Kluyveromyces lactis: one gene and its partner. The protein of the gene in region 2 purifies or fractionates together with the protein of the main gene of each other region. This does not show direct contact. Links are inferred from orthologs where the notes say so. Each region holds a gene or a part of one and is shown on either strand. Other genes may lie near its edges. The genes, in order: TEL2 and TEL1.

Region 1 (9,597 bases), on a different chromosome or scaffold from region 2:
AGCGAATAGTCTCGTAGTAGAAAAGAGAAGTTCTTCGTCTCCAAATTAATTCCCACAGGAACATTTGTACTGTATTTTGTATCCAATGGCATGCCTTTACCGTGCTTGTAAAGGAACTCCGAATATCTTTCTAGAGGGAACGATGGCGGTTGAAGTTTCAGATCTACATCTTCAATGGAAATTTTGAGTGAATTTACATCGTTGTCAACAGAAAACGTGGAAAATTCGTAGTCTAAAATGGTGTTATTGACTGCATAAGATTCAGCACCATGAAACTTCCTTTTAGCAACTCGATATCTTGCTATCCAAGAAGTTGAAAAATTCTCATAAAGTCTGGTATACTGTTGATTGAGATATTCTTCAGTTCCGGCAAGCTTGTCTGAACTTAGAAATAATGTTAATTTTTCTAGACGTTCCCTTTGTTCCAAGACGCCCACTTTATAAATCAACCCTAATTCTTGCTCAAACAAATCTTCATTGACTGTGATAGTTAGAGTTTTGGTCTTGACATTGATGTGCTTCATTATAATTGGAGGATCAGCTTTGGGGTAAAGGATATTAAAGGAGTCTAAGTGATTAAACGCTGATCTTAACTGTTTGAATGCTTTTACTGTGGTAGATATCGTGTCGACAATAGTATAAAATCTGAAATGGTATTCCATCTTCAAAGTCATTGATTCTGAAGACAACTGATAGCCGTCTTGTTTCGAGTTGTACAATTTGATTAAGGCCATCTTGAGCAGTGGAACGTAGACAGCGTGATTCTTTGTGTATACTGATTTGACAAGAAGATCAAGGTCTTCAACAGAAAAACCTGAATGAGCACCAGAAGTATATTTCATATTAGTTAAGAATAATAACAACGTCATATTCTGCGGTAGTTTGAGCACCGTAAAGAAGTTGTTGATGTTAATTTCGATTGGGCGGTTAGAGGAATGGGAAGCACGTTTCTCAGTTTTGAATGATTTAAACCGATTAATCACTGAATGCTTGAAATAGAACCAGAACCACAAGAGGTTAATGTCAAACTCATATTTCATTTTAGGTATGTCAATCACAATAGCAGTACTCGAAGGATTGATTTCAAGCCTATCGAGGAATATAATGTCGTTCGAGTATGATTTTTCGAAGTCACTTGATGATTTATACAGCCTCAATTCTGTAAAAGTGGCATGTGAGGAGTTTCCAGATAACAACATATGTGATTGATCAACTTCTAAACCGATTTTATAGGTTCCATCCCTCAGAGGTACAATTGAATGATCTATATTTGGCATGTTTGATGGTAAATAGTCTTTTGCTGATAGCGTAAAACACAATCCCTTAGCTTCAATTTGAAGTTGGTAAGATGAGAAGCGATGATTGGTTCCTTGAGAAGGCTGGAGAGTCTCCTTTGGTTCAGCTGGAGTGAATGATTTCACAACTTTAAGAAGACCATCAATGACTACAAGCTCATCAAGATTGACTTGTATATTGTGAAGTGTGCTAGCAACCGTATCAGGGTTCGAACCGTATCTATCACAAACGAAATGCCATTTCTCGAAAGAAATGAGTTGATGCTTGCGTCTCTCACCCTTTGAGGGAAGATTATAGATTACTGTAAACCTTTCAAGTTTTACCGTACTTGATAAAGTATTGTAAAGATCAGTAGTATCATTTTTATAAGCAGAAGGCACTAACGATTGAAGGTTAAGTTCCGAACTTATCGAATCTGAAATCAAATGATAGTAGTTCTTAGTATCCTCTTTCAGCAGAAGGTTACTGTTGGATATAATTATCTTGAGAATAATTGGTGGGAGTTCAAGTTGGTTTGGTGTATTCTTGGTATCCGCCGATGTTTGTGTTTTCAAAAACAAATCGCGGAGGTTGCATAATGATAATGTTACACGAGGGTCAATTATGTTGACAGTACAGGAACCAGTGAACGACTGAACATTAAAGTCTTGCTCAGCAAATTCAATGACGTCACATGTAAGTAGAACATTAACGACTGGTATCCTAATATCCTCTCCAGCAATTAAAGTGTATACCAGAGAGTTTATCGAAATTGTAAGGTTGTGAATATTATAGTTTTCAACAGAACTATCTAGTTCTCGAGACGGATTCATATGCAGTGAGGCATTGGATACAAAACATGATTGATCATTTGGGAGAAACACTTTAGTATTCTCTAATTGAACAGTGAAAAGTTCAAGCGTTTCAAGGAATTTCTTGTATCTTCTTATTGTCTTTTCGCTAGAGCGGGTCTTTCCAATTGGACGATACATCTTTTCACGTACTGTCGTATCCAGTTTCAATCCACCTATGTTAACACCACTGGTCCATCTGTGCAACTTTAGACCGGCATCATCATGAACACAATGGAAATGTGACGACAATTCGAGTTGAGAGAGGCTTGCAACTTTCCCCAGCTTTATTGAATGGAAGAAGGCAACTAGCATTACCCGATCCGTTTCGAAGCTGTACTCCAGCTTTAAAACTGCCAAATCCGTCAAAAAGTTAACAGTCGGTAATGAGAAATTAACGTTTACCAAACGAAGCTCAATTGGCATAAGCTTACATAGCACTTTCCATCTGGATAAGCTGATAGGTATCAGAAGACTAATATCTTGATTATCCGATATCTCCTTCGGTATATGCTCTTCAAATTCACATACCACATTTACGTCCCAACATTCAATCTTAGAAAAAAGTGAGAGTAGTAACACCTTCCGTACCTTAAAACTGTAGCCTTTGTAAATAAGATGCAACCAATAAATGCTTCGTCCAAATAAAAATCCAATCTGGAGCTTAGAAATGACAATCCTAGCATTGAAGTATAGTAACGCAAGATTGAATATAATCTGTTGCGTAACGAAAAGTATCGTCATCAATGCCAGAATTGATTTAATGCCATTGAATAACAGCGATATAATATCATATCCCATGTTTCATTGGCTGACGCAAGTAGCTACTTGTTACCCAGATCTAACGTGTCGGTAGATTGGCGGTGAGCAGAAGTGAATGGTTGTTTGTAATGATCAGCGTCTTATTCCGAACTTTTGAGCGTTTTCTTTACCTTAAAAGAGAAGCTTCGGGAAATCACGTGACCAATGCGCTGGGGCACCTAAACTCGTTAACTGCTTATGGGAAAGCAATGAAACCTTTGGTTGCACGCTCGAGACGGTTTAACAGTGTAAATAGGTTATGAAGTCAAATATGTCGAGATATACATTGCGTGTGCAGGTAGTAATTTGATGAAAATTTTTTTTTCCTCTAACCATAGGCTCCATTGAATTCCCCAGATTTTGTCATTCAATGAGTCTTAAGAGGTTTGAACTTGTTGTTTCACAGCATCCGAAAGGATTTCTTGCATCAAAATTTGCATCTCTTCTAGCTCATAATGAGGACTTGCACAAGTTAAAATGATCTTGAGCATAGATATGTAGTGTCTCTTGAACACTTTATCGAATGCACCAAGGTTAATTCCGTTCAACCAAGCATGTGCCAAGGGATAGAAGAAGAGTGTAGCGTACTTCCTAAAATTATTCTGCTGTTGTGTAATCTTACTATCAGTCTCTAAACGTTTTGATCTCCAAGTAACCTTGCTTCCTGTTATTTCAGTAATATCTTGTATCTTATTATTTTCAGGTTGCTGTTCAGTGGCCGATTCATCCCATGGTAATCGATTAGTAGGAAAATCGTATTTAGGTTTCACCACAAATTCATCATCAAAACCCCGTAGTTCCCTTGCACTCAATGCTGCAGATGTCAAGATTACCATCCTTTGTTGCAACGATAACTCGTTATTGAAGAGAATTGCATAAAGATCGACAATCTTGTCTGGACATACAACCAATATGCTAACTAATGCATTAGCCTTCCATTCTTCAAATGATTTTTCGTCAAACTTGTTCGATATGGTGGCTATCTTTTTGAGGAGTTCTTTAGAATAAAAAGATACTTCTGTTGGGAAGTTCTTCTTCTGTCGTACTAACTTCACAGTTTCCTTTAGCAATCTAAGTTCGGACCCATCATTCTTGATAACTTTCTCGAATTCCAGCAAAAGATCTTTGAGGAACAAGATGTCTCTAGAATCTTCTTCATCAGATTCATCGTCACTGTCCTGCAAAGTTATGGTATTAAATTGCTGTACAAGTTCATTCTTTGTAGAGTTCCCTTTTGGCAGATTTTGTAGTCCTTCCTTAATGGGAAATTCAAGTTTGGATAGCTTGATTAGTTCAATTCGAGGCAAATCGATTGTAAAATCGCTTTCATATTGAAGCTGATCATTTGTAAGTTTCTTGGCAACAAACATAGTACGCTCCCTAACCAGATGATCCTCAGAATGAAGTCTCTTGGTGACAAAATTCAAGGAAATTGCATCATGCGATAGTTCATCTCTGGAATCCTTAGACATGGCATCTAATATCATTACCAAGATTTCAGCGAGTGAATCATCTGTGTATAAATCCATCAGTTCAAAACATGGTAGTAATTCTCTGAAGAGCTGTGCACGTTTCGCTTCTGACATACCATGCAAGTAAACAATTTTAAAATACGGATTTCCCCATTTGAAGCAATCTATGCTAGTTGGGATATCGAATGGTAACTGGGATAGTAGTGTGAAAATGGTAGAGCTGTTATCAGGATTAGTTACTTTTTCAAGGAACGGGACCAAATGATACATGAAAAATCTCCTCTGTTGAACTGAGGTCCCCTTTGATAACATCATAATCAAAGCATTCCATGAAAATTCACTAGTAGTAGCAAGCCCTTCAATGAATATATCAACACCATAAGGAATATTGAGCTGTAGACATGAAACGAACATTTCGAGATGCGTCTTATCATATTGCTTCGTCTCTTTAAAGACAAATTCCCATTGCATCTTCATAAACTTTAAATATTCAACGATGGAAATACTGCTGCTTAAAGCGTTATAACATCTGCTTCCAAACAGAATCGATTTGATAAAAGGGAGATCTCTTCTTGACGAATGCTCTAAGTAATTGAATAGACAATCACTCTCATACTTAAGAACATCCGTTAAAAAGCCGTAGAATATTGACGTCTCACGATTCTTACCCAATTCTTTTGCATACTCAATAACCAATGATATGAATATGTAATTATTACCGCATAGCCTGCGTAGTGCCATCTTTAATTCTCTCGGTAGCGATGGATATATTGGTACCACATTCTTGATTATCGGGAGTATTTCGTTACTAGAATGCTGTTTCTTTGATGACATTCGTTCTAGTACCTGATAAATGGTATCTTTATCACATTTCTCATTCAACAAAGTACTATCAATCCCGGACATTGTGCGCTATAATATACAATCTATCACGTCAGCAGCACTTTAGCAGCTTTGCAATGCTTGTCTCATCTATAGGTTTTCATCTCATAGTCTTTTATTCATCTCATATTAAATGTCAATCTTTACAATAACACAAATAAAGAATTGTTTTTGTTTACATATTAGATTCTGTACTTGAAAGTGGCAGATTGCAGAAAGAACTAGAGACTATACACATATCAGCCCGCCAACTTCGTGGATATTGGGTAGCCAGGCTTTAGCCCATACTGTAGTACGTTTGAAACAGACAGCAGTCATATCGAAATGAAAGGTGTCTTGAGTGATATGAAAGTTGACAACAGAGTTAGAAGACCGTTAAACGCTGGATCAACAAAATACGATACGGAATGGCAGGCTACGTCAAATAGTTCGAAGATAACTACAGCACAGGAGAATAATACCAACTCCCTGATTGACTGGAAGAAATTGTACGATTTTGTGGATAATAAGAGCAAAGATTTTGAGAACTACATTCAAGTAAATGATAGTTTCATTCAGTTATATCGCCAATTGATCTGGCGTCATCAGTTGAAGAAACTTCAGGAACTTCCGAAAAAGCATATGAATTGGATTATTTTTTTGATGGAGAGAAACAAATTGACACAAGCTAGCAATCAGATCTTAATGCTATACAACGAAACCAATTTAATTAAGGCCAAAGGTATTGATGACGTTTTGTTAAGTGATTTTTCTGCGGGCAATGAGAATTACTTAGCAACATTAAAAGTAATAACAATGCAGTTGATATTGAAAACAGGAACGACAGAAAGACACGCGGAAAGTCTTTTGGAATGCTTTGCTCATGATACGCGATACCTTCTGAAAGACCCTAATGTGAAAGTCCACGCTTTGGTGAAGCTAATATTAAACTTCTTTACATTGCTAACTGGATTCAAGCCTTTGTTTGGACTCAAATTCGTTCAGTATGTGAATCAGTTCAAACTCGAATTTGGTAATTACATAAAGAATATGGATTCTTCGACGTTTCAAAGACAAATTACCAAATTACTTCGAAAGGATATATCTGTAAACTGCCACATCTATTTACCGAAATACTATGATGAGTATACGAAACATATGGAGAACGATCAAGTGAACTTGACCGAATTTTTGAGGACTGATGTTATAGGTAAGGACGTTTGCACGGAAATAAGAAATCAATTGCGCCTCCAGAGTTTTTCTGCAGGTAAGATCGATGCACTTCTACGACCTTTTTTGTATCAAGCTGCCTTAAACAAATCATCCTCGAGATTGTGTGATAGTCTAATCATTTCTGTCAATAATTCCATTAAAGACCTGAATGAGGAAGCTGTAATTTATGTTCTTGTTTACCTATCCAAAATATTTTTATCATTTGAGGACTTCAAAAGGACTGATAATGTTGCGGCTGTTCTATACAATTGTTTTGTTACGAAACGAAAGCTTCTATTCTTAGAACATGCCGCCATGGTCAATTACAGAGCATATTTACGAACGTCGAATATTTTAGAGCATTTTAAAAAGTTCGAGAGAATTATTGGTTGCTGCCAAGATAGAAATGTTCAAAAGTTGCTATTTTCATACGTATGCAACGTTTTCATGATCTTCAAAGAAAATACACTCCAAGATATGTGGAATTTGACAAGAAAGAGTTTAGTTCCATGCTTTCGCAGGATGAAACTAGACAAATTTGAAATCTTCAACTTTTCTTCAGAGCCAATGTTGTGTCTTTTATATTCTGGCTCTCATTTTTCTTACCAATTCAAGTGGTCTCATTTGTGTCAGATGCTAACTGATATTGTCACAGATGTAAAACAGTCTGACCTTCAAATCGACATGAAAATCAACACATTGGATTCATTTTCGAAATATGAAGTCTTAATAAAATCAATGTTCTGTTTGAATTCTGAAATGAACAGAAACAGCTGTCTCAAATTGCAAAAGGTCTCCAATATATACTTAGAGAAATGGGTGAACAAGGGAAACGAAACAAAACTCTCAGATTTAGAGCTTATGCTCTTGGAATCTATGATGCCTTTTCTCTTACAAAACAAAATATACAAACTTACTGCTGAAATATGTACACAACTAAGAAGCGTACAGAGATATGCATCCATACCAGACCTGATTTCATACTGGCTATTGGAGTCATATGTTGGCTTGCAAATTGGGCCTAAGGTAGAACTTTCCATCATGGAAACGGTTTCCGCACTGAAATACCAGCCGTCGTCTTTCACTGAGATGAATGTGGATCAGCTACATACAACATTATGCATTCTATTAACCCAGGTACTGTGGAAAAAAGACATCGAAACCTTCAATAAGTTAATTCATGATGATTTAACGAGATTTAGACCCAATCTATTTGACATTCAGAATAAAACCAAAATGCCTGTCGCTGAATATTTGAAGATTCTAATGTTAAACATCAAAATTACTCGTTGCGCATCCATTCTTCAACTCTCTCAAAACAACGTCTATATGTCTTTGAAAGAATGCAAACGCTCGCTCAAAATATGCAGACTCTTGATAAAGAAAGAAGCGGTGCTCTCTGCCAAGTATCGATTTGAGGTAATAAGCCTTCTTGACGATATTTTCCAAAGAATTATTAGCATTTATGTCCACACCGGTATTTTCAAAGACTGTGCATTTTTCATAACCGAATATCAAGAGGTTATAGGGTCGTTGGATAACCCAACAGCTCTTTTCAACATGTTTTCCTGCCTATGTTCCTATTACCAGCTGATAGAGGAATCAGAAAATGCCTCTTTATCACTAACAAAAATGAATGCTGCCTTCGACCAGATTGATGGAAGTGCAAACATAGAGGCTTTGGCCACATTCTTGTATTTTAACAAGGAATCCGAGAAACTGAATAATTCTATGAGGTTGTTCTTTGGAGATGACGTGTTTATTTCAGACATTGTCGAGTATTGGTTATTGAGAAGCTGTCAAAAAACTTCAACTGAAACAACACGAAAAGATTTTGAAGCAATGGTATGTATGAACAATGCAAAAATCCTGTACAACAAGGTCCAGAAGCAAATGGCCACTGATACCTTCTTCAGAAGCATGGGCGAATCAGTGATGGCTATTCCTGCATGCTATGACTGTGATAGTATTTCAGTTGATGGGAGGCATAAATCACTATCACTAACTAGTGTACAGACTTTAAAAAGCGTGAATGACTCACCCCGCCCATCATCTCTTACTCCTAGGGGTAAGTCACTTGCCTATTCTTTTGATCGTTCCACTGCAATCAATAATTTACAAATGACAGATCGCTTCATTCAAAATGCTGACATCAAGGCCCTAAAAGCTCATGAAATTCGAGAGTTAGCAAGCTTACATTCATTGACATTGTCACTATTCTTCAACATGAGTACCAAAACAAGGCTGGAAAGCCAACTTGGGCAGAATTTCAGGTTACGAGATCACCCAAGATCATTGTCATTACTATATGAAAAAGCTTTCTCTGATATGGGAACAGAGATATATGATTCTTTTATACCCGAAACTATTGCTACTGAATCCGTTGAAATGTCAGAATGTAATATGAATTTGGCAACTATTCATTCAGAGTTTGGGAAAAAATGGTCTCATCTCTCATTCAATGTGGTAGAGATTGACATTTGCCAGCTCACTGGTGATCTATTAATTACTAGATTCGATACAGTACGCAACAAACACCTTCATTTACGTTTACCTTTGAATCGTCATAATTCCAGAGACCTTTCGGAAGAGGTCTTGGGTTTTGAAGCCGCCCTCGATGAGTTAAACCATATCATTTCTTCCAACAATTGTACCACTTCAATTGAAGTTACCTCGGTCATTACCACCAAAGAACAAAGGAAGAACTGGTGGGATGAAAGGTATGCTTTGAACAATCGACTCCAAACTCTTCTCACTAAAATTGAGGATTCATGGTTTTGTGGGTTCAAAGGAGTTTTTAACCCAAGAATAGTTGATCAGCAGCAATTTGAAATCTTCAAAAAGGGCTTCCAATCAATACTACACACGCATCTTCCTTCAAGAAAATCATCGAGACAATCAGATTCTTTTCTTCAGGTAGATAACATGTTGATAGAATTATTTGTCCTATTAGATGTGATAAATCAACCAACTGAGAAGGCCGTAAGCATGATGGAAGATTTAATATATTTCGTGTTTGATATATTATTATTCCACGGCGAGCAAAATGCATATGATGAGATTGACGTAAATCTAATGCATGTTAAATTCGAAGAGCTGTTACAAGAATATAATGCAGAATCTAA
Region 2 (9,837 bases):
TCCTTGATCTCTACAAAATGTAGAGGCATGAACCAGATTTAAGATTTTTGCCAGCTGAAGAGTGAAATTAGATCCTGGAGCATGTTCGATGACAGAGGTATTATTAATTTTTGACTCGATGAAAAAATGCCTACTCCAATGTAAAATATCGAAAACGTTTTCGGGAAGATAGTCTGCATTAAGGGTGTCATGGACACGTAAATTGTTCAATGTTGTAAGAGTATTCATATCTGCGGATCCCAATTTTTTTAATGAAACGAGTAGACCTAAGGATTCCATAGTTTCGAGGTTTAGTTGAGAATTCTTAAGTAAAGATCCACCGTCCATCACCTTTAAAATGTGATCATCAAATGAAAAAAAATCAGGGATTTCTTTTACATCCTTAAGAATGCTGAATGCAGACTTGGCAAATGAATCTCTTGCTTCTGGAATTGGCAAATCCCATTTATTTAGTTTCAGAGCCCATGAATATTGATTTGCAGAAAGCAGTGGATTTTCGAAGTTACTATCTAGCATCGTTGCCAAACCTGTAAAGCCATTCGATGATGTGACTGAAGCAAACTCATGCAAGCATGAGGAGTCCTTATTTCTTAGCCCCTCTTCAAACCGACCATTACTCAATGCAAAATTGGTGTATGAATTAAATTTTGTTTTAGAAATCAAGGTCAGAGAAGATGCTAGTGAAGATGATAATGGAAGTCCATAAAAGAGATCCTTTTCGTCAATTTTGGAATATATTTGATACAGTAATTCATAATCCAACATTTTTCCAGTGCAGTATTCTCCATAAAATTCTTCATATATCATGAGGGACCAAATCTCTGATCCGAGAGAGAGCATAATGGGTATCACAGGCTGGAGTTTAATTTTGTCATAAACATAAAGTGCATTTTGTACACCGTTCAATGCCATTCCTCTAATAATAGAGAATACTTTCGTGATAACTTCCATTTTCAACGTACGATCCTCTGTCTTAAAAATTTCATCTGCTCTATTCAAGATATCGGAGAGGAAAGAGCTGCGTTGCTTAGGGAAACTTACAAGCAGTATTTTAATTAGCTGTGATATGATAGCCGAATGAAGGAACGCAGTATTATCACACAGCAACGCTAAAATTCTGAAAGAAGGGAATTTTTCAACAATCACAAGTAAGATATTGCATATAAAGGCGGAAATCCACTTTTGATAGTGACAAGATCTGTCAGTGAAAGTCAGGGTTAAGAAGGTTTCACCCAGTTTAATATTGAGCATACCATGACAGTTCTCAAATTTTTCCCAGCTTATATCAGTTAAGTTTTTTAAATTCACCAAGGAAGAGTAACTGTCAGAACTGATTTCTGCTAGGACAGATTCATCCTGTAAGATAATCGACTGGATATGATCAAGCAGAAAACGCAGGCTTATATCGTCTGCTTTCTGATATTGTACCCATAAAATTTGCAGTAGACCAGATATACCAGATTCCAAGTCAAGTGTGGAACAATGATGTGGAATTATGTGATCGTAAGGCCTTGTATAAACAATTTCACCTAGAATATTTCCAAGCCACCTTCTGAATTTATCGGAAACTCTTGCATTATCTCGCGGTATAGATATCAAATTCTGAATAGTAGTGGGAGAGATTAAATTTGCGTCGAACGACCCATCATAATCAAAATTATCAAATAGGTCAGATAAAAGAGAGACCGAAGTTCGGTCGACTTCCTGGAATTTGAAGACTTGTGCAATATCATTCCATCCGAAAGAGTTTGTTTCTAGGGTTAATAACGCATAACAGGTAGCATACAGCTGTTTGCCATCAGAAACACAAAAGTTGAACAGAACTGGATTCACTTTAGGGAATAACGTTTTTTTGACATTTGAATCAGTTACAGTAAAGCAGAATCTCATGAGTTCTGTCAATGATCGGGCAACATCCATTTTATTGTTCGCGGAAAACTCAAGTAAATCCAATATGAAACCATACACTTCTGAAAAAATGTCGGCGTTGAATAAAAACTTCGATAGTTCCAACAGGAAAAAATCGATATCTTTGAACAAAGTTAGCTTATGCTCAAAAAATAATACTAATAATTTTATTTGCCTTAACACACGAATTTTTTGATCAATTAGTACGCAGTTTTGTAAATCCATAACAAGTCTTTGTATCACATATTCAAAGCTTCTTCCATCATCAATATCAGTAAAAACATTCTTTTTCAACACTTTATAGACAATTGGAAAGGCAATTGCAACATTATCATTCAGCTGCATACAGTTCGATGAATTATAATGCAGCATGTTTGTGAATCGGCTCGAATTGAAAATTTTACACCAAAAGGTCAACGAAGTAGCAAGGTTGGAGAGATCTGATAACTTGATAAAGTAGTAAATGACGTCATCCAAATTAATAGTGAGAACGTTTGGGAATTTTCGGCCTAACAGGTCCGCGGCTATATCAAAGATGAGGTCTTTCACGCCTGAATCAACATATGATAAGGCAATAGTAGGAGCTATGTATTTAGTAAGAAGCGCCTCTTGTTTCAAGTTCAGTAATTTCTTTAGATGGTCTATAATGTAATAGTAGGTTGATGATTTTGCGAAGAAAAAACTCGTTAGCTCCATTTGATATCTGATACAAAACTCGTCAAACTCAAACTCAAAAAGTTCCACTTTCCATATGCTCGGTTCATATATCTTGGATTTGGCAGACTTTGTAAACCACTGGTCTATAATAAAATATCTGCATTGATGAAAGAGATCTTGTTTAGAACAAAGGCCATAAAAAGTTGAGATCGTATCCAAACTTTTTTCAACATATAAGAGAAGATGAGAGAAGTTTGTGTTATCTAACAGATGTAAGATAGAGTTGAGCAAATAAAACTCATTGATAAGGGATAATTTCGTACATGTCAACGAAAAAAATGCAGCAGTTTCAACCGACTCTTGAGGAGGATTGAATCTCTGAAGTAGTTCTTTGAATAATATACGTTGATTAGTAACACCAACCCTTTTGACATAGGTTCCGAGCAGAGATACTACCCTGTTCGTCAAGTATTTCGGCAACCTAGTAATGCAACCACTGAGTATCTTGAACACTCTTTGTTTGCCTCCAGATATGGAACTATTGGAGAGGTTGTACTTTTCCAATAAAAGAGTCATAAAACGAGCGAGCTCATATAAAGCTTCCACACCGCTGAACGATGATTCGTCATATTGTGTCACAATCCAATCAAAAATGTCATTGCAGTCGGCAGTCAGAACTTGACTTCGATCTTCCATAACCCAGTATTTTGATATTCCTTCAAGATATCTTGTCAGTAATTTCATTGAGGTCGAAGATGTGTCAAAGCTTGGAGCTAATAGTGAGGAACCCAAGAATTGAGTTAGTCTTTCAAGGCTGGCAGTTGGAATTTCATTTTCATTGTTTTCCAGATATGTAATCAAATTCGGCAATGTTCTGTTCAGCATTGGCAATGATAACTTTTTCGAATAAAGAATAAATGATGATAAAGGATCAAATGCTTTTGATACTGAATGTACTTGTAGTGCGAACTCAAAACCTATTTCTATCATTTCGGAAATAGGGATGCTTCCTGCTTCAGGCTTTGCATGGTGACTTAAAAATTCATCCTGATGTGAAGTCTGCTGAGTATGTTCTGCAAGCCTCTGCATAAAGGTTGATAAAACTTTCTCTGTTGGTAAAATATCCATAATGATGTGTCGAAGTAAAGAATCTTTGAGTGAAATCATGCCTTCCATTACCGAGAAAATCTGAGCGTTCTGACCAAAATCGATAACCGAGGATGATAAAAGGAATATCTCTTTAAATCTTGACAAGTAGTCGGTGTAGTTTCTTTGGCCAACGAGACTTTCGATGGTACGGAGCACCTGGATTGCCCTATCAATGAAAGTAGCTGAAATTGCACTTTCATCAATTAAATCAAAAAGTTTGTACATGAACCTCACACGTTCGGCTTCTTCGCAGAAAACAGGAGCAAACTTTTGCTTTCGCAGTTCAATCGTTCTAATTGTTAAGGAGAAGCCAGTTATACTTGCCCTTTCCTCAGACAAACCCATCCATGTGTCATGAAATAAAGATGGCCTACTATATTCGAAAGTGGGGAAAGTAGTATGCGTGCAGCCGCATAACCAGGATGCAAATACGTAAAAGTGCGTTTCCGACACAACCAGAGTAAAAAGCTGATCCCACCTAGCGTATAGCCAAGAAAAAACGTACGTAATCGGACTTTTAACGGTCTGAAAGGTTTTTGCATAATAGTGAAGATGCATCCAAAATTTGAAAGATTCATTACAAACTAATGCAGGGCCATTTACATCAGATAACAAATACAGATCTGACATTTGCTGTAGCACACTCTTGTCTTTAATTGGTTCTAACTGAAATTCAATTAATTTGTAGAGTAAACTACAAGCAGTTTTGCACCCGTTACTTGTTTTCAAAAGGGGTACACACATCTTAAACAGTCGTATTTCCTCTTCCGGACTGAATGAATTTTTGCTCTGAGAGCACATCGGAATGAAACAACTGAGACATAATAACATGAATCTAACATCTTGGGAGCACCGAAACAATTCCTCTTTCAAATGAGACAACTCAATGTTACTACAGTCAAAAATTGAAAGATAAAGCAATCCAATATGCAAACCGGTTGTCTTGATTTTGATAGAATCACTATCAATGCAATTACAAAGGAAATCGTCGTATGTCAATGAATCCTTTAACATATGGGCGAATGTATCCTTTACTTTTCTTCTCTTAAAAAGTAGTGAACCTCCGGCTAAAGAACTCTCTTTATATTCTAGGAATTGGTAATTAGCTTTCAGCATCATTGTCAGAGACAGAGCATAAAGCCATATATCTTCTAGACAATTCTTTTCATTCTGGCAAATATCAGAAAAGCTATACCAATTGAATTTTGAAGATGCAGGACCATCTATGAAGGTAACACAGTCTAGTGTGAACTTTGTATGATCGTATTGTTTCAACGAATGAATCAAATAGTCTTGAAGCGCAGGGAGCAATTTCTCTTTGTTAACATATGACTGATCCTTGTCCTCGCCTACAATTATCGGAGTTTTATTGTACAGCACTTCTGATATCATCAAATTGAATCTCGCGATCTCCCCTATATTATTTTCATTGGTTAATTTAATTCTTAGTAGATGCTTAATTGTGTAATAGCTAAGATTTATCACGTCCTGAAATCTTATCAGATGTAGTCTTAATATAGCTGAATTGACCAATGTTAGTATGGTTCTTGTATTAGTGTTTTCCTTTGTTATCAAAGTAAGATATTTGATTGTCATTCTTACGACAGGAGTAGCAATGTCCTCAATTCCTATTGTGTCGATTTGAAAGAGCTCTAGTAATGTTTGGAGAAGGTTCGCTATTATTTTATCATTATATGAAACATCAAGATGGTATGTTACTGCATCGCTGATATCATGGGAAAGTGAAATCCATTGGTGCAATTCAAAATTGCATTGAAAAACAGGGGAACCACATAGAGCCACAAGAGAGTAAGTTAGGTGATCTGCCACGGATGTGATCAGTGATCTTGAACGTGGTCTAGTCATCAATTCAAATAACGTCATAGATAACAGTTTGATATGTTTAGGTTTGAATCTTTCACAATTTCTTTCCACAAACAACCTTAAAGTGTAAGCGGCAGAGCCCAATCTGTTCTCGTATAGTTCTATCCTAGCATCCTTGCCATTCTCTAATCTGGTTTTTTCATATCTAGTCTTTTCGGACTCTATAATGGTTATAATAGCATCCAATATGGGAGAGAACGCTTTCACGGGAACCTCAGTTGGTGAGGTTTTCAACAGTAAATTTAGATTATCGAGAGAATCATTACGAGTCTTCAATTTTAGAGATGACAGTCCTGTTACGATGACAGACACCTCAAAGCTAAAGCTCATTAGTTATGTAACGAAGACATTTGTTGCAGTTTATCTTCAATATAACGTTCGGTTCTCTCTTTCTATAGACAGACGTTTATCTTTGATATTTCTTTATTTACATTATTTGCATTATTTCATGCAAATGTAAAGTTAGGAAAAACTGTAAATAGACGTGGTAATGAGATATCTCACAGTTAAAACCGTATTGAAATGCAGAAGCTTTGAGAATACCTTTAACTAATACTCCAGATTTATTCGATCTAAATATTGTTTAAATTTACACATATAATGACTATTATTTTTTAAGTAAAGTTGGATAGGGTTAATTTAAACAACAACACCAGAGTTGGAAGCAATTCTTGGCCACAAGTCGGCACATTCCTTACCGACTGGACCAGTAACAGCGGAACCCTTCATTTCACCCTTAGGGTTAGCAATGACACCGGCATTGTCTTCGAAGTACAAGAAGACACCGTCCTTTCTTCTCCAAGCCTTGGATTGTCTGACAACGATAGCTGGCATAACCTTCTTTCTCAATTCAGGCTTACCCTTCTTGACAGTAGCCATAACCATATCACCTAGAGATGCAGCTGGCAATCTGTTCAATCTTGAACCAGAACCCTTGACGGCCATGATGTACAAGTTTCTAGCACCAGAATTGTCAGCACAATTCATAATGGCACCAGTTGGTAGACCTAACTGTTAAAATAAAATTGACAACACCCATTCCTTAAGAATGAATGTATTCATAAAATTTGTTAGTAAAATAGTTCATATATTTGAATTCAAACTGCGAGGGACATCACATCGAGACTAGTCATCAAGTTCTTTTGCACCTCATAATATCAATTATTTGGTAACACAGTTGATTCATGAAAATAAAAGCACTTAAACCTGATAGTGTTGAAAGTTGAAAGTTTCAGGATCATTTAGCTAAACGTCGTTGATGGTATAGTTGCATGTTCAGTATATCGCGAGTCGGTTTTTTTCTTCATTTTCTTGGGGTTACATATTCCCATTCAGTTTTGACTATTCTTCACTCGAGTTGGATGGGTCACATATTTTCAAGACTCTATTCTAACACCCGACCTAATCTGTCTCTCATGACGTTTTATTCGTGTTATGATTCGCTAATCTCTCTGGTATCCCGCCTATCTGCTTCGCTTTTGAGTTTGCTTATTCGTTCAAATAAAACGTTTCTAACATACAGAAATTCTGAATTTAGTACCTTGAGCACCGTTACCTGACATCTTTGTTGTTTATTGGTGTGGATTGGTTAATGAGTTAGAATCTGAAATAAAGCAGAACGTACACAAATCAAGCCTTTGTTAATAACTATCTTACTCCATCGAATTCAACCAATGGCTTGAAAATTATCAAAACCTGTAATCTGATATTCTCACCAGTCCATAATGACAAACTCAAGGAGCTTTCAATTCTGGATAGCTCTGTACTGTGTTTCTGTGGGAGCAAAAAAATAAGCCCAATGCTGCCTAAAACGGCAATCGTGTTAGTATTTTTAAAAGAAATAGGAATACAATGTGCGTGGGGAGGTGTATGGGTTCGTTGCCATATGGTGTACTGGTGTATGGGTCCGAATGAAAAAGGAAAGAGTTAGGACAGTCACACCTATGGTTTCCCTCTGTGTTCAATATAAGCAATCAAGAACCAAAATATTCCATTGAGGTTAGAGACATTTGGAATCATACACATCAAAAATTCAGCTACCAAAGACTTAAAATCATTAGACGAATGATCCAACGGGTTTCTGAAGTATAGAAAATTCTATCATACTATAAATTTGGCCATATCTCACTACCACTGGTATACTCAGTGCCTTTTTTTTTAAGTTTAAATCCATACTTCTGATACTTTTTTACTCTTTACCTGAAGAGAGTCATCGGCGTATTAATAAGGGTAGTTAATGTCCAGACTGTATTAAGTGTTCTTACAAATAAATCAACTTGGAATGGTGAATGAAGATGACAGTCTTCGGGTAGTTAGTTCTTCTGATACTACGGATCAGTTACAGCTGGTACCTGGTCTTTCTATGGGACAGAGCACTGTCCGCACTGGTGAGGATGAGGATGAACGAATAGTTACAGGGCGCAGGCGCCACGAATTGCAAGAGTCCGAAACTGATATCGAAGAAGAAGAAGAAGAACTACGAAGGAAGTCGAGACGAATAAGTCGGACGTCCATCGTAAGTATTGATGATGCAGACATACTTTCAGAAACACAACATGTCACTGAAATAGGCGACACTACAGAGCAGAGCAATCTCGCCACCGCACCGCCCCAAGAGGTATCTGATAATGAAGAGCCTGCAATCATTTCTACTGCAGATTATGGAGTGGCGTACCAAAATGTGCAAGACCAATCAGCAGAAGCACAAGACCAAGAAGAAGAAGAAGAAGAAGAAGAACTGCACGAGGCCGTTGGAGAAGGCGATGACGATGACATCAAAGTACTCACGGAAGAGGAACAGATTAAAGCACAGCAGGTTATTGAGATAGATGATGAAGACGAGACTGAAGGCCACAAGTCTGGTAAGGATATGTCAGAGACACCCTTAGAGACGAAAAAAGCGGCTGATTACGTCTGTCCCATTTGCATGGAACCTCCAGAAGCGGCTTTAGTAACCAAGTGCGGACATGTTTTTTGCACTACATGTCTGTACGGTATGGTGAATAGTTCCAAAGGTAACGGTAGACGGAACGGTTTATGTGCCTTGTGCAGAGAAAACGTCAAACTCCAAGATCTTAGATTAATCGTCATGAGGAAAAACCGGATCCGAAAACCAAACTAATAAATACCTAATGAGACTATACATAGGAGCAATGAATTTACATAATACTGTCGCTGTTGCAATTTTTCAGCCTTTCAACTTTTTAAGCGATGACAGTCACAAAAAAATCATCAGACATAAATGCACTTCAATCAAGGTACCTCTCAATGGCAGTAGAACAATGGAGTGTGTGTATAAAAAAGGAGACAGAACCTTAACAGTATACCCTTTTTTTCCCAAGAAATAACCCTTCGTTATAGCCATATATATATTTATTTATTTATTTATTATGATATTTCGAATTTCACTCCCCATATCTAAAACTCTTATGACTTATAACTATACTGCAACTTCGAACGACTCCAAATGCAGATCAAATGAAAACAAGACTGAGAATCAAATACCTGTCAACACCGAGGAAACTGGACTTAAAACAAAACAGAAACAGCACTACAACCACCTCCAGGAATACGAAAACTACTGTTACAAGAAAAAACCAGCGTCATATTATCTTTGGTCCAAAAGCTACCGAGTACGGCACAAACCATTAAGATTGGATAGGTTCCCAAAAAATGAATTGAAGAAAATCCGCTGCGGTATATTCATTGGACATCAAGACCATCGATGTGCATATTGTCCGTTCCACGGGATTAAACATGGCTACACTTTACAACCAACATTGAATTGCATTTGTCGCTTCAAATCGGTTGCACCAAGTCCATTGAAGCATGATATAACTAAATACATGATTATGAAAAGACATCCAGTCTTTGATAACAAACATGTATACTGGAACACCGGAAGTAAACAGATAGACAGAATTATAAACCACATGTGTATGAACTCAACCAACAAAAGGAATTGAAATAATTAGTAGTAATGGGACATTATACTGCATTTCTTCCAATAAGGCAAGACAAAACAACTAGACAGTATATAATACAGTAGTACGCAGTGCACTGTCGACTGTATATTGACTTATATTTACTTATCATGTTTCTCCTTTCCGTCACTGAAGAAGACACTTAAACCTCTCTTCTATTCTGAATCGTATCATATACCGCCATCTGCTGGAGAAAAGGGGAATATCTAGCAGAATTAGGTAAAAAGTCTTGTAAAAACGGCCAGTACGAAAAACT

Evidence for each region.
Region 1: the proteins of TEL1 (region 2) and TEL2 purify together in Saccharomyces cerevisiae (affinity purification with western blotting; 4 studies listed by BioGRID). This does not show direct contact. The link is inferred for Kluyveromyces lactis from reciprocal best matches to the Saccharomyces cerevisiae genes TEL1 and TEL2.

What each region holds. Positions count from the first base shown.
Region 1 is NC_006040.1:1,277,603-1,287,199, reverse strand, and holds TEL2 (Tel2p), read right to left. Parts: upstream 5,306-9,597; coding exon 3,305-5,305; downstream 1-3,304. Other genes in the region: HOB2 (Hob2p), read right to left, coding at 1-2,927; ESP1 (separase), read left to right, coding at 5,606-9,597. UniProt on the Saccharomyces cerevisiae protein: Part of the TTT complex that is required to stabilize protein levels of the phosphatidylinositol 3-kinase-related protein kinase (PIKK) family proteins. Required for telomere length regulation and telomere position effect.
Region 2 is NC_006041.1:633,512-643,348, forward strand, and holds the start of TEL1 (DNA-binding protein kinase TEL1), read right to left. Parts: upstream 5,929-9,837; coding exon 1-5,928. Other genes in the region: KLLA0_E06997g (60S ribosomal protein uL14), read right to left, coding at 6,238-6,609, 7,119-7,160; SUMO-targeted ubiquitin ligase complex subunit SLX8, read left to right, coding at 7,880-8,719; SPR6 (Spr6p), read left to right, coding at 8,988-9,563. UniProt on the Saccharomyces cerevisiae protein: Serine/threonine protein kinase which activates checkpoint signaling upon genotoxic stresses such as ionizing radiation (IR), ultraviolet light (UV), or DNA replication stalling, thereby acting as a DNA damage sensor.